Linked DNA regions of Saccharomyces cerevisiae S288C. The gene in region 3 interacts genetically with the main gene of each other region. Each region holds a gene or a part of one and is shown on either strand. Other genes may lie near its edges.

Region 1 (3,783 bases), on a different chromosome or scaffold from region 3:
TAGCTGTGATAAGTTGAAGATGGGTCTTCCTTCAGCAAATATTTCTGCAATAACACATCCAAGACTAAATATGTCCATTTCTTTAGTTAGCCTACCATTGTTAGATTTTCCATCTTGGTAAAGTTTAGAGTTAAACCTCTCCGGGGCTAGATAACAGGTTCTTCTCTTCGAGGTGTCGAAGTAGAATAAAAATTCACCTGGATTATCTTCAGGCAAATATACGGGTTTGATAAATGCAGCAAAATCTGTCAATATACACCAATTCCAACTTGTTACTAGGATATTTTCTGTCTTTATATCACCATGGACAATATTCAGATTATGAATGTCCTTTAATGCATTTAACAACTGGAAAGCAATGAATTTCAGTTCAATGTCTTGTAAGTAAGGTCTCAAACTCAATCTGTCATATAAATTATTTTTTAAGTGCTGCCGTATCATGTAGCCGGCTCTATTTGTCTCGATCAATTTACTGTAGTTTAAAACGTGCGGTAGTTGTCCCAACTTAAACGATTGAGCCCTTATACGTTGGAGAAAAGGTCGTAAGCTATATTGGTCTTTTGGTTTAATAAACACTTTGATAACAATTTCGCCGTTAGGGTCCAGTGCCTTGCATGTTTTTAAGAATCTTGATGAGTTTAACTGTGAAACGTAGTGTACTTCCTCTAAGACATCGATATATGAAAAAATGGCTATGGAAGGTGATGCTTGGACCACTAGTGATAATTGTGCCCCCATTATACTGTATGCCTTCCTTTTTGATAACCTTACAGCTTTTGTATTTCTCCAATTCAACTTGTCTGCTTAAGTATCTTACTTAAGATATATCTGTTTTTCATTTTTATGATGTTGAAAAATAAGGGAAATTTACCTTGTTTTCTACCGAAGATAAAATATAACGCAGACTGCACAGAGAAACTTTTGAAAGAAGATAGATTTATATATTTTATAATACCGGCTATATGTGTATAGAAGTTAGATTTCTGAACAGTACTCTTGGCTCAAGTTTTCCAATGGTACTGTCTCGTGGAAACCACAACGCTCGGTTAAAAGCTTTAGATTGTCCTCAGAAATTTTGGCGACCTTCTCATTATATAAACCACAGTATTCAAGAGCATCCTTTGGTTTGATGGTCTTTCTACCGTCCTTAAGGACGTATTTGGTCAATGATAATGAGCATAAGACGGTGCCCTTTTTAATTGTGAATCTACTCATGACGTAAATCCATTTCTCATCCCAACAGATAATCCTTGATGAAACCGAGTACTTTTGAAAAGGCTTGATTTCCTTCAAGAAATTAGTGAAAACGTTCGCAACTGGAATATATGGATAATGCTTGGAATTCAGCATCAATTTTTGAAAAATCTTGCACATGAGATTACCTCTTGAAATGTCCAATTCCGCAAAATAGGTGCTATTGCTCTTATGAAAGTAGAAGTCACATTCGAATGGAGAGGCATAGGTATCTAGGCTGGTGTACGAGAAACAGCCATATTCATTTTTCTCAAGTTTCTTAATATTCTCGGTTTCAAACCCTGTAAACATAGGCAAGAACAAGTTTTGAATAACATAATAATAAAACCTAACAAAATATGCCCCAGGAAGCGACTTATATGAAGAGAGCAAGTAAGCAGCAAAGAGCCACCTAAAAATAGTGCAAACACCCATTATTCTATTATTTTATTTTGTTGTAGATATTGGAAAGCACTAGTTACTCGAGAAACCTTTTGGAAGTCTTGAAATTAGAAGCAATTGTTTTACAAAATTACTAAAAAGCCTTTAAGCGGATAATTATAATGTTCACTTTATAACGGCGTTATTCGAAGATCATTATTGTCTCCTATACCCAAGAGGACCGAAGCCGGGTAGCGAACTTTGTTCTGGTAAAACAATCGCTTTCAAATAGAAGAAACGTTGCTTGATGACAGCATCTCCTGCAAAAAAGAGGTTGAGAAACAAATATCTCAGCTGTTGCTTCTTGTTGATCGAGATGACTATTAGGAGCAGTATGAAAAACAACGCAGAATTGGAAAGCAAGAGTGTGTTAGCTAATGAATCGAATATAATTAGCACATTTACTAGAAGGATAATAAAGGAAAAAAGCGGTAACTATCAGGTACTGAAAAGATCCCTTGATGGAAAACTAATCTATCCTGAGGCCACTGGCATATCCTCTAACAGAGGTAACAAACTTTTGCAGAGAAGCGAAGTAGTAACAAGAAGAGACTTGAACAATTCTAAGCCAATGATTGAGCAAACTGTGTTCTATAACGGTTCGGAGCATCGCCTTCTGCAAACAAATATTGTCACTGATAGTAGACGCAAAAGAATAAAATTCACACCTGACATCAACGTCGAGCCTGTTTTAGTCGGTGATGAAAACGACATCGATGGTAGTGAGAAGGAAGACGAAAATATCACTGATGAGTATTACGGCGAAGAAGACGATGACGACCTATCAAAACTAGTGAATGTAAAGGAGATTTTGACTCCCATTCTTTCCCTAGGGGATATAATAAATCATAAAACTATCTCAAGGACATTTTCAAGCCCAATTTTGAAAAATTTAGCCTTGCAAATAATTCTAATGATTGAAAAAGAACAGATGTCAGTTGTTAGATATTCCCAGTTTTTGGAGGTTTTTTTAGGAGATCATCCTGAACCAATTTATGAATCTAACTTGAACCTACCATCTTATAATCACAATTTGACCCTTCCAGAGGATAGAGGGGCAAGCGACGAGGATGACATTAACAACAAAAACAATATCAACGAGGTTAACTCGAATAGTTTGTCTACTGAAGCTGGTCATATCAATAATGGCATGGAAGAATTTGGAGAGGAAGATCCTTTTTTTGCATTGCCAAGGTTGGAACAATCTAATGCGCTGTTATCGTTGCTGCCATCTTCTTCCGGTTCTGCTTCTATATCAACATTAACAGCGGCCGAACAACAACAGTTAAATGAGGAAATTGAGTCTGCCCGACAGCTGTCGCAGATTGCACTACAGAGGAATAAAGAATTCATAAGAAACTTACAAAAAATCAGAAAGTCTGTAATAAAAGCCAATAGAATAAGAGGTAGGATTTTAAATTGGAGTCGGGAATATTTGGGTATATCTGACGATGATATTACTATCCCGGTGGCTCTACGTGTTGTGAAGAGAGGTCTGATCAGTGCTACAACAAATAAGACAACAAATTTTGAGGAAGAAATTGAAAATACCATGGAAGACGGTGTTGTAGACGATAATGAACCTGATGAAGAAGCTAATAGAGCCTAAATTGACAAAACAAAAAATTTCGGAAATAAAATCAAGGCATATGTATTATTTAGCACTATTTAGTAATAATAACAGTATTTTAGGATGGGTTCTTTTTTTTTTTTTGTTTCACCAACCGTTTGAAGTGTAATCAATGACTTTTACGAAGTTCGGGTCTGTTTCATCATCTGTCTTATTTCTATTCTCGTTAAAGATGGGGGTAACACAGTATTTGACAGTGTCATCAAATAATTCATCAATGAGGTTCTTCAAATCTTTCCCAGTTTGTTTGAAGTCTGGGAAAGCGTTGATCTCTAGTAATTTAACTTCGTAATTCGAATCAATCAAAAAGTCTACGCCATATGTTTCAAATGCGTTTGGTAACGGTTGGAAGTTTAATCTATTTACATTTACAGCAGCTAAGAAAACGTCGTTCGTTATGCTATGGATTTGCTCCTTAATATTGGACTTTCTCTCATTTGGAATTTCCTCTATGGAGTCAAACTCCAAAACAGAAGAAT
Region 2 (7,026 bases), on a different chromosome or scaffold from region 3:
GTTTACTATAAAGATGCCATTAGTTTCATTAAAGAGATACACAAGAGTATTGAATTGATATCTAATTTGCTGTTTTCTAAGAACAGAAACGAAGTTTTAGAATCAATGGACTTCCTAGTTTTAGCAGACGCTTTTGACATTGAGTTAAGCGAATTTGGTATAAAAAAAATGCTGCATTTGGTTTGGATGAAGGGCACAAACGATGAAGGAACGAGTATATCAGTACATTTGATAGAATGTTATAAGCAGCTATTTTTAACCGCGCCAGATAGTTGCAATATGCAGGAGAAGGCGGCACATATTGCCAAAAATTTAATTAATCTAAGCATCGGCGCATCTATTGCAGACTTGGCCTCTTTGGAACAGCTATTAGGAATGATGTATGAACAAAAATTGATTGATCAACATGTCATTAATATCCTTTGGGCTATTTACAATTCTGCATCGAAGGCCAGTATGCAGAAAGAACAAAATGTGAACAACCGTGACTCCGAAAAAGGGTTTTCTAAGGAACAAATTCATGGTTCTATTATTATTTTAGGAATGTTATCGTTAGCCGATAACGAAATAGCATTAAAAGGACTGGAGTCACTTTTAAACATTGGACTTGGTGCCGTTGGTTTAAAAGATCTGACCCTTTGTCGGTATTCTTGTTTAGCGTTAGAGAGAATGGTTCCCAAGAGAAGCACTATTATTACCAAGGCAATAAATCAAGAGCTTGAAGATGTTGCAGTGAAAAAGTTGTATGCCATAATTATCAACTATACCAAGGATAATGAATATTATCCTATGTGCGAACAAGCGCTTAGTGCACTGTTTACAATCTCTTCTAAGCCCGATATACTAGCTACAGATCTGATTAGAGAAAAGACAATGATGACATTTGGTAAACCTGAAGAGGAAGACTCTATTTTGTCGTTAGAACAATCATCTAGAGTTGTTTCTCTCAGTCAATTATTATTCATTGTAGGACAAGTGGCAATTAAAACACTTGTCTATCTAGAGAAATGTGAGGCAGAATTCAAGAAAAGAAAGATCGAGGCAGAAACTCGGAACGGTAAAGTAAAAAACCAAGGTGCAGATGTAACTAACACCACACAAGATAACGGTGGTGATAAAGAGCTAGAAATGATAGGAGGTACTAATGAGGACGATTTCACGGATGCTATTCAATTTGTAAAAGAGAATGAATTACTATTTGGAGAAAAATCTATATTAGGGAAGTTTTGCCCAATTGTAGAAGAGATTGTTTCTAATTCAAGCAGGTTTAGCGATCCAATGCTTCAAAGAACGGCAACCTTATGTCTAGAAAAACTAATGTGTTTATCATCAAAATATTGTGAAAAGAGCCTGCCGCTATTAATCACAGTAATGGAAAAATCTCCTGATCCTACTATTCGCTCAAATGCTGTCTTAGGACTAGGTGACATGGCAGTATGCTTCAACAACTTAGTAGACGAAAACACAGATTATTTGTATCGCCGTTTGCATGATGAAAACTTAATGGTACAAAGAACATGTTTAATGACAGTTACCTTCTTGATTTTAGCTGGACAGGTTAAGGTTAAAGGACAATTAGGAGAAATGGCCAAATGCCTAGACAATCCAGACCAGGGAATAAGTGATATGTGCAGATTATTTTTCACCGAGTTAGCATCCAAGGACAACGCCATTTATAATGGATTCATCGATATCTTTAGTAATTTATCGTCAGATGATTTATTGGGTAAGGAGAGTTTCAAGAAAATCATCAAATTTCTGTTAACTTTTATCGATAAGGAACGGCACCAAAAGCAATTAAACGAGAAATTAGTTGGAAGACTGAGAAAGTGCGAGACCCAAAAGCAATGGGATGATATTGCATTCGTACTAAACAATCTACCATACAAAAATGAAGACGTCACTGCATTATTGGAGCAAGGTTTCAAGGTTGTATCCGCAAAAGAATAATCGAACTGACGTTTACCCGTTTCTTCCGTTTTATATTATATGTTATTATATAAATAAAAGCTGTTCATTTCTTTCTTCTTGAAATATGACTTTACCTATCTCGATAAAATTCATTTGTGGTCGTCTTCATTCACTCCTGGGCAATGCTCGTAGAGATCACCTTCATCCTTATACTTGATTCCGCAAAAAAAACAGTAGTACTTCTCGGACCTCAGGAATATATTCAATTTTGTTATTCTTTTTTCAATGCTCAATTCTTCTAATTCAGCAAGTTCTGTGTCTTTTGTAATGCGACTACCGATAATTGAAGTATCACAATCTATTAATGTAGAAGGACGTCCAAACTTTTCACCTTTTATTGCAGGCGAAGCCTCCAAACTTTCATTTACCATTGGTATCATATTATTCTTATCTTCATTATCATTGTTACTGTGATTATTTAGGTCATTTTTTGCTACTTCCTCATTTAGTTGCATAACGTAAGATCTCCAAAGTACGTTAAAGTCTCTCGGATCTTCGCCTGGATTGTATAAATCGGAATCACCCATCATTTCAAAAGCAACTTTTTGGATCCTATACCAAATTTTTTTTAACCGCTTATTATTTTTCATTTCACTTTCTCTTTTTATAAATCGTTGTTCACTCATCTGCATGTCATTCATTGTTGATGGGTCGGGCTTTTCTGCACGAATTCCCCTCCTTTTTGTATTGATTTCTACCTTAATAGGCTCTTTTAGGGCACTTTCATTACTACCTAATGTTTCTCCTTCTTTGTAACCCATGTTTTCCATCATTTTATAACCCCTGGGCATGATTGAACGTAGTGATGTGCGTGCAGTTTCGTCATTTGTTGAATCTCTTTTTGACTTCTTCTGAGGCGGTGTATTCTTCAAATCTATGCGATCCTCTTTTCTTTTTGTCTTACTCTCCTCCATTTTATGCCCTCCCTGAAAGTGATGGTAGATGTGTAGCGTACCTCTTATTGTCCGTCCTCTTATTCTGTAATTCTTAAATTAAATTCAATCCAGTAAATATTACAATTGAATTGATACCTAATTTTTTCTATTGACTATATTTCAGAGTCAACGTGATCGTTCTAACTTTCATTATCGATTATAGATATTATTCTCAGCAGTGGAAATCTTTTTATCTCAACTCGTCACCACACAAAAAAATGGAGACAGGATCCGGAAGACTCAGGAGGATAGAGCAACGTTATTGAACAGTGTTTTTAATTGTTTCATTCTTAGTCTTTAATTTATTTACTTTAAACCGACGGTTATATAGTACGTATTCTATTATTTTTTAATCACAAAATCTCAAATAGGCATGCCTTATGTTGTTGTGAAACTAAGGTATATAAAACAAACAACTTTCAAAAAAAGAAAATGAGAGTAGGAAAAAGGTGGATGATGTGAGAATTTTAACAACCTTTATTTAAAACCGTTCACAATCTTGGGTATTTTTGGGATACCATCTCTTTCCAATTGTTTAGTGAGTTCTTCTTCCAGACCCCTTTTCCACAAATCATGATTTTCACCAATAGCGTAGGTGATTGTCTTGTTCATGTAGCCTTCTGGTCCTAGATAATTTAACATTTCAATGATGTCTTCCAACAAGATGGCCTTGCCCGCGGCAATACTATTACCTAAACCGGGATGCTTTATGTTAACGATGTGAATGTGGAAATGATAATAAGAAGGTTGGTAGTGAACCAAAATTCTCAACTCATCCGGATGGACAGCATAGTTGTAACAACCAGGAACAATGGATCTAATCTTGTTGTTCAAGTTGATTAACCACTGTCTGTCAGAATATCTTAAATCCCTTATTGTCTTGATATCGGTCCTGTAGACGATCGCAACTAGATATAAAGAGTCTAAGTTCATGCCATCCCATTTCATATCAGGTAAAATTAGGAAGCCGTCGTCCTTATTCTCCTCAGAAAAATCTTTATAAACGACCCTTTCTGACTCAGCGCCTTCATAAAGAATGTTGTTTACCCATTTAAGTCTACCGTTATTACACATTTCTTCGATGTAAGGCTGAACAATTCTCTTGTACATCTCAGGAGTCTCTCTGACTAAATGAAAGTTTTGTTGTTCATATTTCTTGATATGAATTGGAGTAGCAGGCCAAATTAAATTCAACTTGGCGGTAGGGTTCGACTCCATATCCTGCTTTATCACTGACAAACCCCAGTAGTAAATATCATTGGAAGTAATCTCCTTTAATTCCTGAATTCCGTTGATGCAAGAATATTCGTTTTCACAATTATATAAAACTGGAGTGGAGCGGCCATCTTGAGAGGGTCTTCTCACGGTTTCGTCAAATAGAAAGTGCGTCTTTTCAGCCGTGATAATAGCATCCTTGTTGTCAATGGTTCCCAATAAGGACATAACTTTGGTTTGAGGGTTGGAATCGAGGACACTAACAAATTGGAATCTCTTGATCAATGAAGCAAAATCTGTTGGCAGTTGAGACATGGTATATGCTAATTTTGTCGTTTCGCTTTCTTTTTTTTTCCAGGAATTATAACTTAATACTATGTGATTATTTAGTTAATACACAGACAGTTAATAGAGTAGTGATGGCAATTCGATCATCCAAAAGAGTTGGAAAGCCTCTTTTCCTTCGATATATAGTGATGATATCCTTGAAAAGACTCCCTAAAAAGTGCAGGTGCGGCGGGTCACCTGCCAGCTTGCCTGAAAAATACGTAATTATGTCAAATAAATTGCCATACTATACTAATACTGAACTAGACTATGTTATACACTTGGACCAAATTGATCGGGATTTGTGATGTGGGATGATGGGGTGACGTCTATTTGAGGAAGATCCACCAGAAGAGAAAGACGAAAAAGAAAGCGACAATGACAATAGGAGCATATTGACTGATCAAGAGATCGAAGTTGATCTTTTGCGCGGACTTTCTGTACCTTTTGGATGTTTCTTTCAAAGAAGAACTCATGTCACTCATTTTATCGAGAGAATCTCCCCTGTAAAGTAGGTCTTCGATGTTCTTGGACATGATTTGCTTGACACCTACAAGCTCTTGGTTTAGTTGGTCCAAATTGTCCTGAACTTTCTTATCACTGTATGACTTTTTTGTCATCTGTAGAAAGTTATCAAAGTTTACAAACTGGTATGGTCTTACGGTAGGCTTGGGGTACTCATTAGCAAATGAGTGTTCAAATTCTTGCGCTATATCGTTAAGGTATGAGAATGCTAAGTTTCTTGGGTATCCAGATTCGCAAATGACGAAGTAGTACACCATGGATTTCTTCAAATAATGGATCTCAAAGGAGCCACTTTCCAAAGTAGCCTCCGTGGCAGACTGTGGTGTCAATCTGGAAACGACGATTTTCACCTTTTGCTTTTGTTCAAATAATGAGGGATCATTTTCGTTGTCCACAGACGTACAAAGAGGCAGCCCATCTTCTCTGTAGATTAGTGTTGACTTTATCATCCCTACTTAATTGTGAGTGTGTAACGGGGTGTCACTGTCAGGGTTTTTGTTGGTTTTGGGTAATAATAGGTTGTAGATATATTATATTACATGGGCTCTACTTGTTTATCTTCTATGGTAGAAAAAGACCGAAAAATGAAAACAAAAAGCGTTGAGGATTTATTGCTAAAAAAAAATTCGTTTATGACGTCTCTTATTAGATAAATCAAGTGATAACTAGAGAAATTTATTTAATTATATATGCTAGTACAACACGTTTGGTTGAAAATTAGACCTCAAACCACGACAAACTTCTGTCTTATATCGAAGAAAGTTGGGAAACTCTCCCGCAGGTCCAGATTTGGTAAATGGTCTTGTAGGTTACTGATATTAAGAACGTAGTTAGAGTCGTCCTCTAATTGAGCAAATCCCAATTTCTTGCATTGTGGTAGTTCATTCCATGAAGTGAACTCTATACAACTCATATCATTTGACGCTTGTTTTTGGTGTTGGGTGGTGTCGCAAAGGGTATTGTTGATGAACAGTTCCTGCAGATTTGGTAGGTAAAATCCCTGGATTCGGATGGATGAACATTTTTCAATACGTATGATTTTGACAGTGAGCGATCTTAAAGAGTTGTTCTTCAAGCAAATCATTGGCCTCTTTAAATGGTGTCTTTGTTTGAAGGTATCATCGCTAAATGAAGAAGTAAAGGGGATCCAGTTGATTATTTGAGTTTTTTCTACCCCCTCAGGTATCAACTTGACTCTGAAATAGCAAGTACCATCGTTGGTTTCGTTAATTGCCATTTCTTGCAAAATTTTAATGTTTCCCCTCAATGATTTGATGTACCTTTCTGGTGAACCTGAAAATGTTGTTTCGTCATACTTGAATTTGTGCCCAGTGAATTCTTTAATCTTGGGCATTGACCAATTTTTCAAAGAGTGCAACTGAAAGAGGAAATTTATCGAGATATTCTCACTTAAACATTTGTTTAGAACATATGAAGATAAATCTATGAAGTTACAACATTGGGTAATCTCATTATTGTTTGGGTAGGTAGACATCTTAATAAAATTCAAGGTAACCAAATTAGGGAAGCTGATATGAAAATTGTTGAAGAATTGTTGCAAGATCGACTTGATAATTAAAGCTGCTACTGTCGTTGTCGAGTTTAAATTTAAATTTTTATCCACGTCAAACTCATTGTTCCTTTCAAATGTTTTTATCTTTGTTGTTAGTTTATGCAGTATCGAATTAAAGAATGAATCAAGGGCCATATAATCCAAATTCAATGTTTCAACAAAGGGAAAACAGATTTTCTTGCAAATGGGGGGTCTTTTCTTCCCCTTTTCGTTAGTCTTAGAAAAGAAGTTTCTATAGTTTTTATTAATCAGCTGAAAAATATCGGGATCAAAAATCCCAAAGAAATTTTGATCCGAATAGATATTTGAATCCACGAAGTCCAGATACAATGTGTTAATATCAATATCTGCGACTATGTTCGCAATATGTAATTTTTCCAAAGGTGAATAAAACGAACTCTTTATATTGCGAACACAGAATACGAACTCGATTATGTTTGAATTGGAATTCGCCAAGGGGAAGAAGGTTTCTATGAGTTT
Region 3 (9,949 bases):
AAAATCTTCCATAACGGTAATGACCATTGAGGTTTCGAATTCATCGCTTAAGTTACCCATGGAAGTTTCCCTGGCAGCTTGAATAACCGCCAAAACATCAGCATTAACGTAGGAAGAGGCTGGGATACCCTTAGGATAGCTTTCTGGTTCTACTTTGGAAGCCAACAGGACAGACTTAACAACATTCCAGATGGTGTTTAGAGCGGTTTCTCTTAAACCGTACGACTCATCGACTTGTTCATTCAAAACCTTTAAGGATTGTTCGACGTATGGCAAGAAATGCTCCTTCGTACCCAATGCTAATTCGGATAGAGCTGCAGAAGCAACTTCCTTTTCATAGGAAATACCAGTGTTAACGGTGAATTTGTTCTGTAGTTCTTCTTCATTGGCAGAATCAGCAAATGCGGCTAAATCCTCTGCATCACCATCGAAGTTGAATTGGTATTCATCTAATTCTAGTGTCTTGAAGATTTCTGGTAGGATAGTTTTCAAGAAAGGAGCAAAATTTTCGCCGTAAACTTTAGCCAAGTTTGCAATGAATGCATAACCAGATTCTCTTAATCTAGCAGAATCAGTTTTGATGGCCTCATAGGCGGAGTTAACCAAAGGTTCGGCAAATTCGGCAAATGCGTCTGATCTGACGGCTCTGGCCATAGTAGAAATATTTTCAAAAGTGTTGGCCCTTAGTTCTATATCATCTTCGCTCATACCTTCAATTTGAGAACAGTTTTGGATGAATTTTTCCAAATAGTGAACACTAGTCTTGAAATATGGAATGAACGCGGAACCTGCTGCAAAAGCAGCGGAACCAATTGCAGAAACAACAGCACATCTCAACTTGGATGATTCATTACTTTCCAACATATAGAATAGTTTGTTCATTAATGGATCCAAGTACTTAGCGATAGCATCATAAGCAATGAACTCAAGCAGACCATCTAAAGCAACAGTTGCATAGTTGTAAATGACAATGTTTTTCGCAGAATCAATGATATCGATGATCAATGGCAAGTATTCTTCATGAAATTTGGCAACTTCGTCTTGTAAGTCAGTGGTTAATTGGTGAATACACTTCAGAGCAGCTAATTTAACAATCGGTTCAGTATCCTTCAAACCGTTTATGGTGGCAGGGATAATTTTGTCGAATTGAGACAAAATGTAGTCTGGAGAACCAGTAACAGCAACGGAAATAGCTAAAAGAATAGCTCTTCTCTCAAAAACGTTTGCGGATTGCAACATAGCTGGAATGTGTTCAACAATAACGGAAGCAACCTGGGATGGTGGCAGTTCAGAGGAAGCGAAAGCTAACAGTCTAATAGCAGAAGAAGAGGGTGTATTTTCCTCATTTTCGCCTGTTTCGTCTTCGTTGTTTAATTCATCGTCAACATCGATCTCTTCACAAGCCACCTTCAAAGCTGCAACAGTAATTTCTGGGCCCAATTTGCTTTGAGAAACCTTCGATTTTCTGTAGGACAATGAAGATATGATGAATTGAAGAGCAAAAACTCGAACATCTTCGTCAATCTCACTGTTAACAGCAATTTGTAAAGACAGCTTAATCAAATCCACAATAAAGTTTCCTGTTAATTGGGAGTCCAATAGCAGGAAATCGTTTAAACAGTTAAAGATTAATTTAGCGTTCATGGTGTCGTCGGCCTTGATAACTGCGTCTAAAACGTTAACCACAGATGGAATTGAGGCGGCGAATTTTTGAGCTTGAACAGGGTTGATGGTTTCTTGTTCTTCAATCAAAGCAGAAACGTGGTTCAAAGCCTGGGCAGATAATGATCTGATCTCCAAAGAAGATGGATCATTAATTGTCTGAGAGAACAAAGCCAAAAAGTCATCGATGTGGCCAGATAGAGAAGAGGTGAAATCTTCCAACAGAGAAAACAAAATAAAAATGGCAGTTTGTCTTGTTTGAACGTCTTCACCAGAAGCAGTTTGGATTAGGTTAGGGACTAAATCTGGCCATTTGTTACCATCTAGCTCTTCAGTACCAATAGAAGCAATTACTCGAGCGTTGGAATGACGAACATTTTCTTTTGGCTCACTAAATGCTGTTTGTAAAAGAGATGTTTTGATGGAGGCTCTAGTGGATTCATCAATGGCGTTCCAGTGCTTGGAAACCAACTTTCTAGCTTCAACACCAGCTAGTTGTTTCAACGAATCATCGGAGCCGTTCTGCAAAATATGAATCAAAGCTGGCAAAGTTGTAGGCTGGGTATAAAATTGAGTTTGCAAAGTTTTTGTAGCCTCCTTCAAGCCTACACCAGAAGTGATAGCGTGCAAAGTTTGCTCAAGTTGACTTAGAAATTGTTGATCCATTATACTACTTGATACTAAAAAAGTGTTTTTCGTCCCTCAGTTTTTATGCTGCTAAGGCAGGATTTTGGTAATATACAGAAACGAGAAGAAGGATCCTTGCGGGGTCTTGCCTATTCTTTTTTGTTGACTAATAAAATCAATACCAAACCTGACAACAAATAAAATGAAGGATCTATGGATAAGTGGATGTTTCTATTTTTTTTTTTTTTTTTTTTTTTTTCGACCTCATCTCATCGCGCTTTCCATTCATCATATTGTACGAAAACAAAGCACAATCGTAATAAAAGACATCCTGATAATTAGCAAAGGGCTAACCATAATAGTCTAAGTTTAGTAGTTCAAATGTTTGTTGACATGCACTTGAAGCAACTCAAGCGCAATGAGAAAAGTGACTATACAAATATGTAAAAAATTGCTACCAAAAAAAAAAAAAAAAAATTTAAAAACTCTGATAATATAGTAAAAATTATTGGTACATTGTGAATTAAAATTTATGCGTTTGCCCTCAAATCCTTTTCTATATCGTCCAATTTTGAGTCAATGTTCTCAATTGTGATACCAATCAAGTTTCTGTATTTATCTAACTTCACCGATGAATTAATTTTGCTTTTAGCTTCGCTTATTTTCAATGTTGTCATCCTTCTTTTAAACTGTAGAATAGTTAGTTCCGTTGCTAGTCTCAACGTCTCATTTACATCATATGATTCTTGTACAGTATTAGAAAATTTGGCGTCCGCTTTGGTGTTTTTAGGAGAAGAAGTTTCCGACGTTGACTTTGGAATTGGCTCTTCATCTTCCTGTTTTTCTGGATGTGAACTTGAGTTAGTATTCATATCAACCTTTGATTCCTCATCCTGGACAATTGTAGCCAGTTTTAAAGCTTGAGATTTTTCCAAGCTTTGAATAAAATTTTGCTTTTCAGAATTCAACTTTGACGATGTTTCTTTAATCCTTGATTGTAAATCTGATATCGAATTTATGGGAGTTTTGTTTGATACGGAATCGAAAGCATCCTCTATTTGATGTGCTATTGTAATCAATCTCTTCTTATTGTTAGAAATAGAGGATTCGGTTTCTACTACTTCGTTGTCCAGATTTTTAATTTCTTCACCCATTATTCTTTGTAGAGAAGAAACTTTTGTATTTAATTTGTTGATCTGCTGCGAAAGCGGTTTTGAGTACTTTCCTAGTGGAGACATCTGTATCGGCAGAAGGGAAGAAGGCGATTCCAATGATGGCATGGCAGTTTTCACACTATTCAAGGGATCCTTTTTCTTTTCAACTTGATTCTCATTATCCTTTGCCTTTTCTTTTTCATCTGATATTGACTGTGATCTTCTTCTGTATAAAATGGGAGAGTTTTCAAGAATTTTGGACGGCGTAGACTTTATATCTTTAATGACAGACGACGTCACGAAAGAATTAATATTCGACAAGTCTTCCATAATAGTGTTCATATTTGTAGAATTTGGCTGGTTGGAATGCAGGTATTGACTTTCGTTGACTTCAGAATCTGTTTTAGCTATATTGACATCTGCAGTAGAATCTTCTTTATCAGGATGTTGAGTTTTTATAATTTTTGGAATTTTGACATTGTTTTGTGGTTGCTGTTGCTGTTGCTGTTGTTGGTAATAATTCTTTTGAGGAAGGTTTCGAGCTAACTTTCGATCTGCCTTGGTGTTGTTGTTTCTGCTGTTTGACCCGCCAGCCGGAGTATTAAACTTATTCATTATTGACGCAGGCGATTCGTTATCTAGATTCAATATATCTGTTGACGCACCAAGATATACCAGTCTGTTGTAAACCTCGAAGTTCAAGTTTAAAGCAGATAAATGCAGTGGAGTGTTCCCTATATTATCTTGGTAGTTCAAACATATCTTCAACAAATTGTAGTCCTGCTGACCCAAGCTCAATATTATCGAATCCATATAAGATTTTATTATCATTGGATTTTTGGACTTATTAACGCTCAATTCAATTAAATAATGAAATGGCAATCTTCCATTTACGTCGGGAGTTATAAGACATATTTTTAAGATGGATATTATTTCATCGAAAGCATTCTCCTTGTAGCAATTGTTGTAGAAAATTGATTTTGTGATGCAATTAAAACCGAGCTTATTACACTGTAATGCATTAGCATTTAAGGTAATTAGCATTTTTATCAAAGGAATATTCGCCATAGCTGTAGCCCAATGGAGTGGAGTGTGACCTTGATCATCAATTTCAAAATTTATGTTAAAATTTTTGGGCGCCGGATATAAAGTAGCCAACAACGCTTGATCTACATCAGAAGACCTTTCCGATGATAGTATTGTTAATATCGTCTGCTTGTATTCTTGATCTGTCATTTTGTTTTCCAACTTGTTTTGAGATGAAGTATTTCCTGCGCTGAACGGTGTCATAGATCGTGAAGACATATTCATACTGTTATCATTTTCATTTGATGAAAATACTTCAATGGAGGAGCCATTGGATGCTACAGTGTTGTTGTTATTGTTGCTGCCGTTACTGTCACAGTACTCATTATGGTGATCATTTGGATTTTGAAAGGATTGCCATAATAAGGGTTGCTTCATTAATTTGAAATGCCTTTGTATTTTTTCTTGCTGGTTGTAAAATTGTTGTTCATTAGATTGATTCAGCTTTTTCCTCCTTTTTTTACTATTGCCATTTGTAATGGAGTCCATCATGGAATGATTGAAGTTATTCGTCAAATATTCATGATGATGTTGTTGTTGTTGTTGGCTTTGCATAGGTCCGTCTGGAACTATGATCAAGTTATTATTATTGCCATTATTATTGTTATTACTGCTGTTAATGACATTGTCGATGTTATGGCTGTAACTATTACTGTCATTATTATTAGGGTTATTCAGAGCAACGTTCTTGTTTTGTAAATTTGTCGGAATTGGAAAAAATTGAAGAGGTTTCTGAGTTGCCGAATAATTATTATTGAAAGAGTTTTCATGAATGGATTTTTGTTGTTGAATAATAGTAGATTGATTGCTGTTGTTACTAATATTATTTATTAAATTGTGTCTTGTGTCATTGTTGAAATTCATCGTGGTGTGGTTATCATTATTGTTCATTATATTCATTGATGAATTTACTTGGAACTGTTGAGGAGTTTGGAAAACAAGGTTTTGTAAAGGACTTGGATTCGGCTGGTTGATCGATGCATTTTTCTTGCCTTTCTTATTCGCAGCTGTAGTTGTAGCCGATGTTGATGAACTACTGTTCTTTTTTCTTGGTGTTTTATTGTAGCTCGATGGAGAAGTTATCTTCGTTCCCGGCGAAGTCTTCCTCAATATACTATTTTTGCTTCTCTTTGGTGGAGGGTTATTTGGATCGAATTGAAAAGTTAAGATGGAGTTGACCACAGGGTCAATTATTTCGTACTTATTGACTAAAAACTTCGCTGAATCCAGTGGGATCCAAGTACCTTGAAACCTACCATACCCACCTTGAACTTTTTCATGTTGCATATCATTTGATTCCTTTTCCAGTATTTTAGTTCTTTTCGTCTTCGAAAATTGAGCTATTTTGAAAACCTGGGTAATATTAATCCAATCATCTTTAGTTCTTCTCATCACTATTTTAGTTTCAAACCCACGTATATAGCATTCGTATACATCGGTTTCTGAATACGTAGCTATTTCAATCACTGGATGGTTTGAATGAGGCGCCAAAAGAACTGATTTTGATATTGGCGTGATGTTCTGGTGATTGGTATTATCTTTTTGGTTTGATATCAAAACATCAAATGGCATGATTTCTCGAATAAATCAACCTTTTAGAACTACGCAAGAGGGACAGAAGGGAAATGAGAAAGAAAGAAGAGTTAATTTTCGGCAAAGAGCAATTATTGTTGACAATATATCAAATAACGTGAAATAATGTACCTTTTTTTCAAAGGGTAAGTGGAGGAAGAATCGTTTGAAAAAGCGACGACCAATGCTAGATGTGATTCTGCTGTAACAACAATTAATAGTAAAAATAACACAATACACTAAAGAGTTTCTTTTTTTATTATCTCGAAAAAAAAAAAAGCTTCCAGTTGAATTTAGCAGCAAATATTAGTCAATTAGTTGATATGCTAAACCAATGCTAAAGGATGGCAATAACTATAATATCTTTTGTGCGTTTTTCACGTTGACGTGCTTCTTAGTCCTTGTTCCTCTTTTTTTTTTGTTAGGTTAACCATTTATTTCCTAAACGGGAAATAAGCAGGCGGGGAGCTGAATATAATTAACTTTCGCGTCATGGTTAGTGACGCGTCACTTCAAACGCGGGTAACAAAATCAAGTTGTTTTTAGCCGCCGAAGGTAATTGTATCCATAATGAAGGCTAGATTAAACCAATAATTTGTAGTGACAAAATTTATAGTCAGTAGCAGGTTCTCTTTAAATTGAGAGATTTCGACAGCCTTTTACTAGATGTCTAGTTTAGTAAAACTAATTTTCGTATGCTGCTAAACGACCTAAGATCCGCAGTCACCTATCGTTTAAAGTACGCAGTCACAATGCGGTTGAAATGTAATGTACTTATATTACCTCCTTCTTAAGTAACATTTCATTTTTTCCGCCACCGTACACAGAGTAATTGCTTCGTTCGTTATCTACTTGTACTGAAGTCCCTCTAAACCTACTGCCTTTTATTTTTAGGCTCTAAAATAACCATGGACAACGTGAATTGGGTAGCATCTTTTTTTTAATAGATAGTTTATTATGTATAACAATAATTTAAAGATATTCATAGTGATAAGTAATTTTAAATGAGTTTAAAGTACTACTTTTCCTTTACCGCCAGTTTCCTGTACTATGAAAAAGGCAAATTCCGCATTGTAGCCGCCCACACGCATTTTGATCATCAATTACGAAATTTGCCGCACACGTGTCACGTGATAAGCACTCTTACTATCATGTTTTACGGAGTAGCAATGATGTTCAATTATTGCAGCTTTCTTTCGTGAAATCGTAGTATCATAGACCTTCCTAATGATGGAAGCGGTAAAGAAGGAAATCGTAAAAGTAAATTAACGAAGTAGTATTAGTAAAACAGAGTTGAAAAACTGATAAATCTTCAACTCGAACTGAAAAGAAACACAATAGAATATTTTTTCTCAATGCTACCTTTATATCTTTTAACAAATGCGAAGGGACAACAAATGCAAATAGAATTGAAAAACGGTGAAATTATACAAGGGATATTGACCAACGTAGATAACTGGATGAACCTTACTTTATCTAATGTAACCGAATATAGTGAAGAAAGCGCAATTAATTCAGAAGACAATGCTGAGAGCAGTAAAGCCGTAAAATTGAACGAAATTTATATTAGAGGGACTTTTATCAAGTTTATCAAATTGCAAGATAATATAATTGACAAGGTCAAGCAGCAAATTAACTCCAACAATAACTCTAATAGTAACGGCCCTGGGCATAAAAGATACTACAACAATAGGGATTCAAACAACAATAGAGGTAACTACAACAGAAGAAATAATAATAACGGCAACAGCAACCGCCGTCCATACTCTCAAAACCGTCAATACAACAACAGCAACAGCAGTAACATTAACAACAGTATCAACAGTATCAATAGCAACAACCAAAATATGAACAATGGTTTAGGTGGGTCCGTCCAACATCATTTTAACAGCTCTTCTCCACAAAAGGTCGAATTTTAAACAAATTTTGTATTATAATAATTATGTACATATATAAATATATTGGTACATATGTACTGTGTGTGTATGTGAATGTTGATTACCGTTTTCTTTAAAAAAAGCTTTTCTTCTTTTTATTACCGAGCTTTCCTTTAGTTTACAGGTTGACTTTCTGGTGGTATATTTTATTTATAAACCATGAAGCCGTTAAGTAACTTAATGCGCCAAGCCCTAAACTGCACATTACGTTGAAGATTAAACTATAACAAATGGAAATTAAGATAGATGAAAACCCATGGATGTTTAGCACTGCGAAAATGTAATATAGCGAATACAATTCCATATATACACCACCGCTAAATCCCATTTCAAAGCACTTCCATCTCCAATTGTTGCGAACCACCTTATCTTCGAAGCAAAATCTCATTAATAAATAACTTCCAATAATTGATATCTCCATAGTTAACACGCATAATAGTATGATACTCAAAAAAAGGAATCCGTAAAAATAATAAAATGTAGTTTTCTCCAACCAGAGAGATTTGTAAACGTATTGCATTTCCACGTAAATTACTAACAAGGGGAAAATACCACATAAATAAATGCCGCAGTAAACCAACGGGTTGAACTTGGCTCGTGATTTAGGTACAAATAATCCATTGCCATCGCTATTGCTTTCATCTTTAGTAATTCCACTCAACCAATATTGAGGCAAAGGTATATTATTAGCTACAATACCACCAAACAAGCTGAGTGGTATACAGACGATGAAATAAATGCTCATGAAAAACACAATAGTCTTGAATGGTAATGCACTTGTAGAATCATGTGCCCAAACAATACTATTTAATAAAAATGTGCTCACCATTACAATGCCAGGTAAGCTGGACCCACAAAGTATCGTAAAAATGGGACTAAACTTCTTGTAGTCTTTGAGGTATCTGTTATCGTCAAGGTAATTGGCCTTGGTTCTTTTCGTTTTCGTTACCATACTGAGTCTTGTCCCTACGAATGATGCCATGAATGCTCCAAGTACGAAAAATAAAATGGCCATAGTTAGCACACTGTTTCTTACATTATGCAATTTGTTCATTGAACATGATATCGTTAAGGATCCAATTATGGTAAATAAAAATTGCACCCCAAATGAGACCAGAAGGATTAAAACTTTTAAACCAAATAAATTTGGTCTACCATTTTGTATCCAGTCTTTCGCCACCGTGTAAACGGAGTATTTACCATACTTGTCATCGTCCAGGTCATCCTCTGTTTCAATTCCTTCTATATTTATCATGTATTTGGGGGACTTTGAATTACTTTTATCCGTGTACATGACTCGTACGTAAATAATAAGCGTGATAAATGAGATGGACAATACAATTCCCACTGAATTGGCTAAGCTCATCCAATGAAACTGAATGCTCTGTTCGTCAGATAACTCACCTGCGTTCAAGAAATAATCCCATCTATGATTCCAGTCTACTTCAAATTCTTCCCTCCAATATACGGAGTAAGTAAATGGCAAATATGTCAACTCATTTTCATCCTCAGGAATGACTATTTCGTATTGTTCGTAGTTCTTCGATGCCCCAGGACAATGATAATCTGACACAGATCTTGGATATACTTCAAAGCCGACTATGGTATTTTTATCATTATCACTGGCATGAAAACGTATTACCAGCATTACGTGATTATGCAGATAGGTTTTATCTGTATCAGGATCTATGAAACCTAAAGGAAACCCAGATGCATAATATTTTTTATGATCAGTGGTGGAAATAAAGGTAGTGGCAGCCGGCAATTCATCATCAATTAGCCATTGTACGACGTATCCCTCCCTGACTAACTTGTCTAAGGTCTGCATGCCCTCTTTGGTAGTTTTCCGGGCACACAACGTTTCACATGGATTGTCTTCGCCAAATTTGAGTTTATAGTCGCTTTCCCATT
Region 4 (9,126 bases), on a different chromosome or scaffold from region 3:
GTATTCAATTTTGTTAAAGGTATGATGACGAAGATGCCAAGCCCTGTTTCAATCAAAAATTTTGGGGCATTAATGGTGGACAATAAAAGTTCATTAAATCGTAGCTTGCATACTACTATCATGAACACTTACTTACAAGAATCTAAAGGACCCAGGACACCTGCTAAAGAGATACTAGAATTTTATTTCCTGGGCCTTTTTGGGTCTGTTTGGTCACCTACCAGTTGGAGAGATGATACAAAACCTAACCAATTAAATAACGGTATCAAGTTAAGGCATTTGGAAAATGCACTCTACGAGACGATGTCAGCAAGATACCTGAATAATATTAAGACCATCTTTCACAATTTGATCATTACAATTGGTGGGTTCCATCTATTATTAAAAAGGCGTTCCGATGTAAGTGCAAAAACCTTGAAGGATTTACGTAGCAATGAATTGGATTACCTAAATTTTGCATTCAAGTATATTGCTCACATTTTAAATGATATCGTTAAGGAATCATGGAGCGAAAATCCTGAGGTTTCAGAAATTCTAGGTATGGTAAGAATTATCAATTGTTGGATAAAAGCAAATCCCATGGTTCTTCAATATTCACAAAGTAATCTAGAGTTTGTTAATGCCTTGGCATACTTGATAAATGATATTGTGAAAAAAAAACCAAGTCCTTCTTTTAGTATAACAGAACATATTCCTAAAAGGACATACTGGTTCGAAGAAGACTTAATGGTGAAGGGTTTATCATTCGTTAACTTTCAACTATCTGATTTTGACGATTATGAAAAAATTCTTGAAATGGATCATAGTCTCGATAGATTAATTGGTAATCCGCCATTATGCGACAAGTTATCGGCATCATCTGAAATGCTGTTAAGGTTGCAGGCTGTTGTGAATATAAGTTCGCAATTATTGCAGAACAACAACTGCGGAGTAGAATGGTCAGATAATAAATCACGTTATATCTTTAATAAGAAAATTGGATTTAAGGAGACCGTTAAAAATAGTATGAAGACATCGAAGCAATCCAATGAAAAGGCCAAGTTACAAAGAAAAAACAAACCTTCGACCACTAATGGCTCAATATCCATGGCGGATTTGGAGAGACAAATGAGAAGTAGCTCTTTGGATTCTTTTTCTCCAACTATGGGTTATAGTGGTTCGTCTGTACCTATGGCCCCAGATACGTTCAATGTTAAGCCCAGCGGTACAATAACGGGGAACAAAGTAAATGTAGAACTGTTAAAAATCGAACTAAGCGGTCAAAACGCCGATGGCGCTATTACGAATATATCTCCTGGTTACAGTAACGCAGCGATCTCTTCTTCAAATTCGACAGATGAATCATCCTTCGATTTGAACAACATCCTATCTTCAATGCAACAAAAGCACGCGGAAAAATCATTTGCCAAATCCATGCAAGGGGTGAATGAACAAATTCCAGCGAATGACGTCTGCCATCAAGCCCAGAGGCCAATGCAAGGTGGTCTGTATTCATCACAGCAACCTTCATCGATGTCTTCATTAAACTCCGCGTATCAGAATGCCTCGATGCCTCCATCTGCCTCCATGGTATCCTATCCCTATCCTTTTTTGAACCAGCAGGGGCAAGGGGTCTTTCCGCCTTATAATGCACAAAATTTACAATGGCAGAGCGAAGCTTACTCATTAAAGTCAATGAATTTTGCAAATCCAACGTGGCTAGGTGACCAGTACCAGACATCTGCGCCGTCGTCAGCATATGCGCAAGCGCAACGGCAAATGTTTCAACAACCTATGCAGCAAGATGTGGGGAAGTACATGCAATTTCCTTTTGACGCCCAAAGCAACACGGACAGCATGAGGGGAAACAGTCGGAATAATATGTTTTAATATTGTTCGTTTTTTATCATAGTTTTTCAAATCTTCATATGAATACTAGGTAGAAATTTGGCTTATCAGTACGAATGAATTACAGTTTGACTGATTTGTACACGAGAATTGACGTATAACTTCTTTTGAAAGTCTTTGAAATTACATGGTAGTACATACATATATATATATATATATATATGTTATATTATTGTTAATTAAATATTATTATGCGTATTTTCCTTTTCTTTATTAGTATAGTATTAATGACAGTAATAATAATAATAATAGTAACAATATCTCTTTTTTTTTTTCAGTGAGCTTTTATTTTTTTTTCATTGCTCTTCTTTTGGCCTCTTTTGTTTTTTTCTTGATTTCCTCCAGTTTCATCTGTTTTTTCTTTGGATCAGATACAAAATCTGGTTTGAACGCGTCATAGTGACAGTCCAATTTCAACCTTTCACAGTTGAAACAGTGCGGTCTTTCCTCGGTACACTTCTTTTTCCTTAATCTACAAATCCAGCAACCAGTACGGGACCTTGTACCTTGAGACGTTGAGGAAGTAGCATTATTCGATTCTTGAGAATTGTTTGCTTTTGATTTCGAAGTAGTATTATTTGGTCTTTTCTTTGATGACTGTTTCGCCTTTGATTTTGCCTTAGGCTTGACATTTTTTCCTTTAGATTTAGCGAAATCCGGCGAAGTAGCGTTAGGATAATCAGCGGTATATGCCAAGCCAGAAGAAGCCTTCAAAGATGGAGACGATGGAGCTGACGAAGTTGAGGATTCGCCAAGAGAATTATAATCGCTATTGGTTTGGCTTGCTACTCTTGCGTTTCCAACTGACCTTCTCGATTTTTTCAATGGTGGAACTTCCAGTTGCTGTTGTTGTTCTGGAGCAGAAAGGCGTCTGTCTATTCGCTTACCATTCTTATTCCAAGTAACTTGCCTTGTCCTTGACTCAAAAGTGGGATCTAAAACCTTTTTAGAGTTTAGATTTAAATGGTAAGGAGACAAGTCTTGATTTTGGTCCTGGTCTTCATCAAAAACAGCTGTAGAATTGTTGCTTTCGAAAATGGGTTGTTGTTCGGAATTATGGATACGTAACAGAATTGGTCTTAAGACACCCTTTGATGGAAAAGATGACGAATGAGGCCTACTAGCCGGCACACCGAGCGCATTTGTGTTATTCATGTCATTGACATTGGAAATGGGTTTATCATGAGTTCTATATGGGGATGATCTCATGTTTGATAGCACTGCTGCTGCTGTACCCAAGTCGTCGTCTAGTTTGGTAGATGAAGATGCAGAATTCGGACCGAGCAATAATCTTGATCTCAATCCATCCAATTTAGAATTGATGTATTTCGGTGGAGGTGGTGGGATGTATTGTTCATTTGTATGGAAGGGACTATTTCTATTGTTACGATTCGGCAAATCGCCGTAAAAAAACCCAGTAGAAGGTCTTGACGAAGTGGCAAACGGGTCTTCACCGCGATTGATATTGTTCCGTTGAGGGTTGTTGTTGTTTGTGCTTGTAAACGAAGATGCGGAAGTTGGAGGTTGAGAAGGTATTTGGTTGAACCTAAAATGCTGGAAATTGTTTCTGCTGGTAATGGAAGAGCTGGTGTTCGCATGTCGAGAGTTTGTAGGCGTATCCGTGTTTGAACTAGCATTGTTGGAGGATGATTCATTCAAAGAATAAGCCTCATCTCTGTATTTCGAATTTAGCCAGAACGATATGTTGATTTTTGATTCGTTCTCGTCCAGTTTTACATTTGGGTCTGTTATCTCTCTATCCTTGTTGAAATAGAAGTTCCTGGGCGCCACGCCCACGGCACATTGGTCATCATGCACATTATGCTGGACCTGAGAGTCGTTAGATGGACTGCCGCCGCGCTTAGTTCCGCCGCGCAAATACCCGCCAATCTCATTGTTATTAGAGGATTCTCTCGAATCTGAGCTTTGTATCGAATTATTGTCGTTGTTGTTGGTACTGTTGTTTCTGCTCAGTATCGACATAGGCGAATTGGTAGTCTTACCGTTGTTCTTGTTGGCGCTGGTAATGATGAGCGGCAAATCCGATCCTGTGCGGGAACGGATGCCCGAGCCCGTGCCCGCGCCCGAGCCTGCTGCGGTGGTACCGGGGGAAGAAACCGCTGGAGCTTGTGGTGGCGGCAAATGTATTTTTTTTTTGGCGCCGGCGACGATAGTAGTAGTGGCAGTGTTACTATTAGTGGAGGTGGAGGAGTAAGGGAAAACATCCTCGTTGGTTGCAGTATACTGCGGCTGAATAGCACCGGAAATTTGTGGGTCTGTAGCCTGTGCGACATGGCCATTGCACAATGACTTAGGATCCGAAGGTGTATTGGAAGGCGCGAGTGGGCTGGCGGCAGCATGCACAGCGTTATCGCTGTCACGGCGATCTTGAAGTGTAGTATTGGTCGTAGTAGTAGTATCGTTTTCCTTAGGATCGTCTTTGATATCTCCGCCACTTTGGACTTTCAAACTCGGCGAACCAGACGGAGTATGCACGGGAGTGTTGTTGGGCGCACATGTCGATTTCATAATAGAAAGCAAAGGGTTTTCATCGTAGGTTGTCTTGAGAGATTCGATGCTAGCACTGGAAATTGTAGGATGGCGGGAGTTAGCTCCATCACTAACTTCATCTTCTGCATGTTTTTTGCCGTCTTGGCTGCTATTCATCAGCGTGGCACGAGATGTTTTATTGTGCAAATAGTGATGATTGTTGGCGGTTGTTTCCATCGAAAGCAGAGAGGCAGCCGCATTAGATTCGTCCATGTGTTTGCTTTGAGAGCGCGCCTTGTCTAGCATCGTGAGTTAAGGTCCATGCAAATGGTTTGAGTGCGGTAGTGTCCTAGTTCCTGTGCGCTGTGCGAAGGTGGGCGCTTCTTACGATCACTGGTCTCTTGTCCTTGTCCTCTATGTTCTTTTCATTTTTCTTTTTGACGGCGGCAGTTTCCGCCTGGCATTGGTGAAAAGGCGCCTTGAAGCACGGCGGACGTGTCACCCGGACCGAAACAGAAGAGAAGTAGCGCAGTCTTGGCAATTATAGGATGCCCGAAATCCAACGTGCATTCTATTCTCGTGATTATTCTCGTGATTTCGTGTGCAACCAATGGACTTTAAAAACTGCGCTCTACTACTTGTAGCAATGCATGTTTTGGGCAAGTGGGGTTGAGTGGAGTGTCACCTCAGACGACGTGTCGCTTTTGTATATCCGTTTTTACGGACATAAGAACGTGCCGCCCATTCTGGGAAAACAAAACACAGGTTAAAAAAAAAAAGAAAGGAATGGATGGGGAATGGGACAGAGAGGAAAGATAGAGGTGGAAATAACAAAAGCGTGACAACAAAGAAGCAAATACGGAGGGACAAGCAAAGAAAAAACAAGGACAGAAACAAAAAATAGGAACAAGAAGTAGCACATTCATAAGCAAGAGAGTACGAAACCTGTTTACACCCCCCGAGACAGTTGCCCTATATCGCTTTTCCCTATCAATAGTTTCTAACTCATGTCAGTCTTGCGATCACAACCTCCTTCAGTTGTACCGCTACATCTGACAACATCCACCAGTCGCAAAACAGAACAGGAACCATCGCTATTGCACTCTGCAATAATTGAGCGACATCAAGACCGTTCGGTGCCGAATTCGAATTCGAATCCGGATTCGAACCATCGAATAAAAAAGGATCGCAATAATCACACTAGCTACCATTCTTCATCGAATTCGGAGTCAAACATGGAAAGTCCTCGCTTGTCAGATGGTGAGTCTTCCACTCCGACCTCTATTGAAGAGTTAAACCCAACAATAAATAATTCGAGGCTGGTGAAGAGAAACTACTCAATATCAATTGATCCTTTGCATGACAACAGCAATAATAATACGGATGATGATCATCCAAACACCATAACTTCTCCCCGACCAAATAGCACTAGTAACAAGGAAATGCAGAAATATAGTTTTCCCGAAGGTAAGGAGTCGAAGAAAATAACAACACCCTCGTTAAACTCGAATAATTGTTTGGATTTGGACAATTCCAGTCTTGTTCACACAGATTCGTATATACAAGACTTAAATGACGATCATATTTTACTAAACAAGCGCGTTTCGAGGCGATCTTCCAGAATATCGGCAGTAACAGCAACTTCCACGACAATTAAGCAAAGAAGAAATACTCAGGATTCAAACCTGCCCAATATTCCCTTTCACGCTTCCAAGCATTCTCAAATTCTACCTATGGATGATTCAGATGTAATAAAATTGGCCAATGGAGATACCAGCATGAAACCAAATTCTGCTACTAAAATTAGTCACTCAATGACTTCTTTGCCTCTTCACCCACTTCCACAACCTTCTCAAAAGTCAAAGCAATATCATATGATATCCAAATCAACCACTTCTTTGCCGCCAGAGAATGACCACTACTATCAACACAGTCGTGGCACCAACCATAATCACGCTGCTAATGCTGCTGCTGTTAATAATAATACTACTACTACTACCGCTGCTACGGGTCTGAAAAGATCAGAGTCTGCAACGGCAGAAATTAAGAAGATGAGACAATCTTTGCTGCATAAAAGAGAAATGAAAAGGAAAAGAAAAACATTTTTGGTGGATGACGATCGTGTTTTGATCGGTAATAAAGTCAGTGAAGGCCATGTCAACTTTATTATAGCTTATAACATGCTAACTGGTATTCGTGTCGCAGTGTCACGTTGTTCTGGCATAATGAAACCTTTAACTCCGGCAGACTTTAGATTTACGAAGAAGCTTGCCTTTGATTATCACGGAAATGAATTGACCCCTTCTTCTCAGTATGCATTTAAGTTTAAGGACTACTGTCCCGAAGTCTTTAGGGAACTTCGTGCATTATTCGGCTTAGACCCTGCTGATTATTTGGTTTCGTTAACTTCCAAGTACATTTTGAGTGAGTTGAACTCGCCAGGTAAAAGTGGTTCATTTTTTTATTATTCGAGAGATTACAAATATATTATCAAGACCATACATCATTCTGAGCATATTCATCTGAGAAAGCACATACAAGAATACTATAACCATGTAAGAGACAATCCAAACACTTTGATTTGTCAATTTTATGGTTTGCATAGAGTGAAAATGCCTATATCGTTTCAAAATAAAATTAAGCATCGGAAAATTTACTTCCTAGTCATGAATAACTTATTTCCACCACACTTAGACATTCACATTACTTATGATTTAAAAGGTTCCACATGGGGCCGTTTTACCAATTTGGATAAAGAAAGGTTGGCGAAAGATAGATCATATAGGCCTGTGATGAAAGATTTAAATTGGCTTGAAGAAGGTCAGAAAATTAAATTCGGTCCATTGAAGAAGAAGACTTTTTTGACACAGCTGAAAAAAGATGTGGAATTGCTTGCTAAATTGAATACAATGGACTATTCCTTGTTAATTGGCATTCATGACATCAATAAAGCTAAAGAAGACGACTTACAATTGGCGGATACGGCATCTATTGAGGAGCAACCACAGACTCAAGGACCCATAAGAACCGGTACCGGAACGGTAGTACGACATTTTTTTAGAGAGTTTGAAGGTGGAATTCGAGCATCTGATCAATTCAACAATGATGTGGATTTGATTTATTACGTGGGGATAATCGATTTCTTGACTAATTACTCAGTTATGAAGAAATTAGAAACGTTTTGGAGAAGTCTACGCCATGATACCAAGTTGGTGAGTGCCATACCTCCAAGAGACTACGCCAATAGGTTTTACGAATTCATAGAAGATTCTGTAGATCCTCTGCCCCAGAAAAAAACTCAATCGTCGTATAGAGACGACCCTAACCAGAAAAATTATAAAGACTGAGTAGGGCACAGGTAAATAACCTATCGTCTATGTACTCAGTCTAATCTACTTTGATTTAATTTAATTCAAGTTATATAAATCTATTCTTTTCCCTTTAATTTTAATATTTTAATTTCAATCCTTTTCTTATTTTCTATTTTTGCTTTTTTTTTTTCTTTTTTCCATATTCTCAGGCCACGTCAGGCTTGCATAAGCCACGCTAGCTAATAATTCAGCGAGACCCTATTCCAAACCTAATTGTTCGGAACCATGCCATATCTCTTCCGCAGTGTGTGGCTAAGCGGCTTTAAGAGGATACGAAATGTCAAAAAACGAGAAAATTCGATTATATCTGTACGAACTTTTCTTTGCGCTTACTGCCTGTTTACTTTGCTTTGCCTTCTACTGTTTTTTTTTGCTCGAGGCCGATGGTGAACTGCAACGTTATATAAACTAAAGTGCCAGAATAAAAATAAAGAAAGGCAAAGGGAGACTATCCGTCTTCGAAACAAGTCAAAAGAGCGAAAACTAATGAGCCAACAACAAGGTTACTACCAACAAGGACCCCCACAGCAAGGTTATTATCAACAAGGTCCACCACAACAAGGTTATTATCAACAAGGTCCACCGCAACAGGGTTATCCTCAGCAGCAACCAGTCTATGTCCAACAAGGTCAACCAAAGGAGGAAAGCTGCTTGGACAGTTGTTTAAAATGTTTGTGTTGTTGTTTCTTATTAGAATTGGTATGCGATAACTGATTCGTTTGTTCAAGAAGTGGTCAATATAAAAAACGAAATCACATAGCCTTTCATCTATGCTGCGAAAGACTGTATAATTACTTTTAAGCAAAAATGTATATAATATGATGGGATCGTTACGTTGGAACAAGAATTGACCATCGTTCATCTGTTGTTGAAATAAAATTTGAAGTTATTCGTCGTACTAGTATCCTATCACATGCGGTGTAAGAAATCACATTGTATGAGAAGCAATTATCTAATTTAATGGACGCTGAAGTTCAAGAATTGGTAATGTGACAGGATAATTAATTAACAGCATATAAAATAAAAGAATAATATTTTTATTATATAAAAATATCGATCACTCTTGTGGATTTCTAAATCCTCGAAGAGAACTTTTAATGCATTCTATATGCCTAATAATAAAGTCGCTATCGAAAATATAATATCTATGCTTATCTATATTGAGAAATGGATGAAATTTGAGATAATTGTTGGGATTCCATTGTTGACAAAGGCTATGATATTAGGTGTAAATGTTGGAATAAAAATCAACTATCATCTACTAACTAGTATTTACGTTACTAGTATATTATCATATACGGTGTTAGAAGATGACGCAAATGATGAGAAATAGTCATCTAAATTAGTGGAAGCTGAAACGCAAGGATTGATAATGTAA

Evidence for each region.
Region 1: mutations in SWI4 (region 3) and RXT2 together harm fitness more than expected from each alone (negative genetic interaction), as found in Saccharomyces cerevisiae (6 studies listed by BioGRID).
Region 2: mutations in SWI4 (region 3) and SEC22 together harm fitness more than expected from each alone (negative genetic interaction), as found in Saccharomyces cerevisiae (5 studies listed by BioGRID).
Region 4: mutations in SWI4 (region 3) and UME6 together harm fitness more than expected from each alone (negative genetic interaction), as found in Saccharomyces cerevisiae (5 studies listed by BioGRID, with this or other methods).

What each region holds. Positions count from the first base shown.
Region 1 is NC_001134.8:433,906-437,688, reverse strand, and holds RXT2 (Rxt2p), read left to right. Parts: upstream 1-1,990; coding exon 1,991-3,283; downstream 3,284-3,783. Other genes in the region: ubiquitin-binding serine/threonine protein kinase VPS15, read right to left, coding at 1-738; YBR096W (uncharacterized protein), read right to left, coding at 976-1,668; PBY1 (putative tubulin tyrosine ligase), read right to left, coding at 3,392-3,783. UniProt on the Saccharomyces cerevisiae protein: Component of the RPD3C(L) histone deacetylase complex (HDAC) responsible for the deacetylation of lysine residues on the N-terminal part of the core histones (H2A, H2B, H3 and H4).
Region 2 is NC_001144.5:678,596-685,621, reverse strand, and holds SEC22 (SNAP receptor SEC22), read right to left. Parts: upstream 5,423-7,026; coding exon 4,778-5,422; downstream 1-4,777. Other genes in the region: condensin subunit YCS4, read left to right, coding at 1-1,950; CMG1 (Cmg1p), read right to left, coding at 2,061-2,885; DCS1 (5'-(N(7)-methyl 5'-triphosphoguanosine)-(mRNA) diphosphatase), read right to left, coding at 3,384-4,436; BOP2 (Bop2p), read right to left, coding at 5,698-7,026. UniProt on the Saccharomyces cerevisiae protein: Nonessential SNARE involved in targeting and fusion of ER-derived transport vesicles with the Golgi complex as well as Golgi-derived retrograde transport vesicles with the ER.
Region 3 is NC_001137.3:379,776-389,724, forward strand, and holds SWI4 (SBF complex DNA-binding subunit SWI4), read right to left. Parts: upstream 6,102-9,949; coding exon 2,820-6,101; downstream 1-2,819. Other genes in the region: karyopherin KAP123, read right to left, coding at 1-2,328; U6 snRNA complex subunit LSM4, read left to right, coding at 7,457-8,020; TMN3 (Tmn3p), read right to left, coding at 8,157-9,949. UniProt on the Saccharomyces cerevisiae protein: Part of a complex involved in cell-cycle-dependent transcription. SWI4 and SWI6 are required for formation of the cell-cycle box factor-DNA complex. The repeated element in the upstream region of HO (5'-CACGAAAA-3') is called the cell cycle box (CCB).
Region 4 is NC_001136.10:862,840-871,965, forward strand, and holds UME6 (DNA-binding transcriptional regulator UME6), read right to left. Parts: upstream 4,684-9,126; coding exon 2,173-4,683; downstream 1-2,172. Other genes in the region: EBS1 (Ebs1p), read left to right, coding at 1-1,869; MSS4 (1-phosphatidylinositol-4-phosphate 5-kinase), read left to right, coding at 5,385-7,724; YDR209C (uncharacterized protein), read right to left, coding at 8,197-8,610; cysteine-rich palmitoylated domain-containing protein CPP2, read left to right, coding at 8,235-8,462. UniProt on the Saccharomyces cerevisiae protein: Component of the RPD3C(L) histone deacetylase complex (HDAC) responsible for the deacetylation of lysine residues on the N-terminal part of the core histones (H2A, H2B, H3 and H4).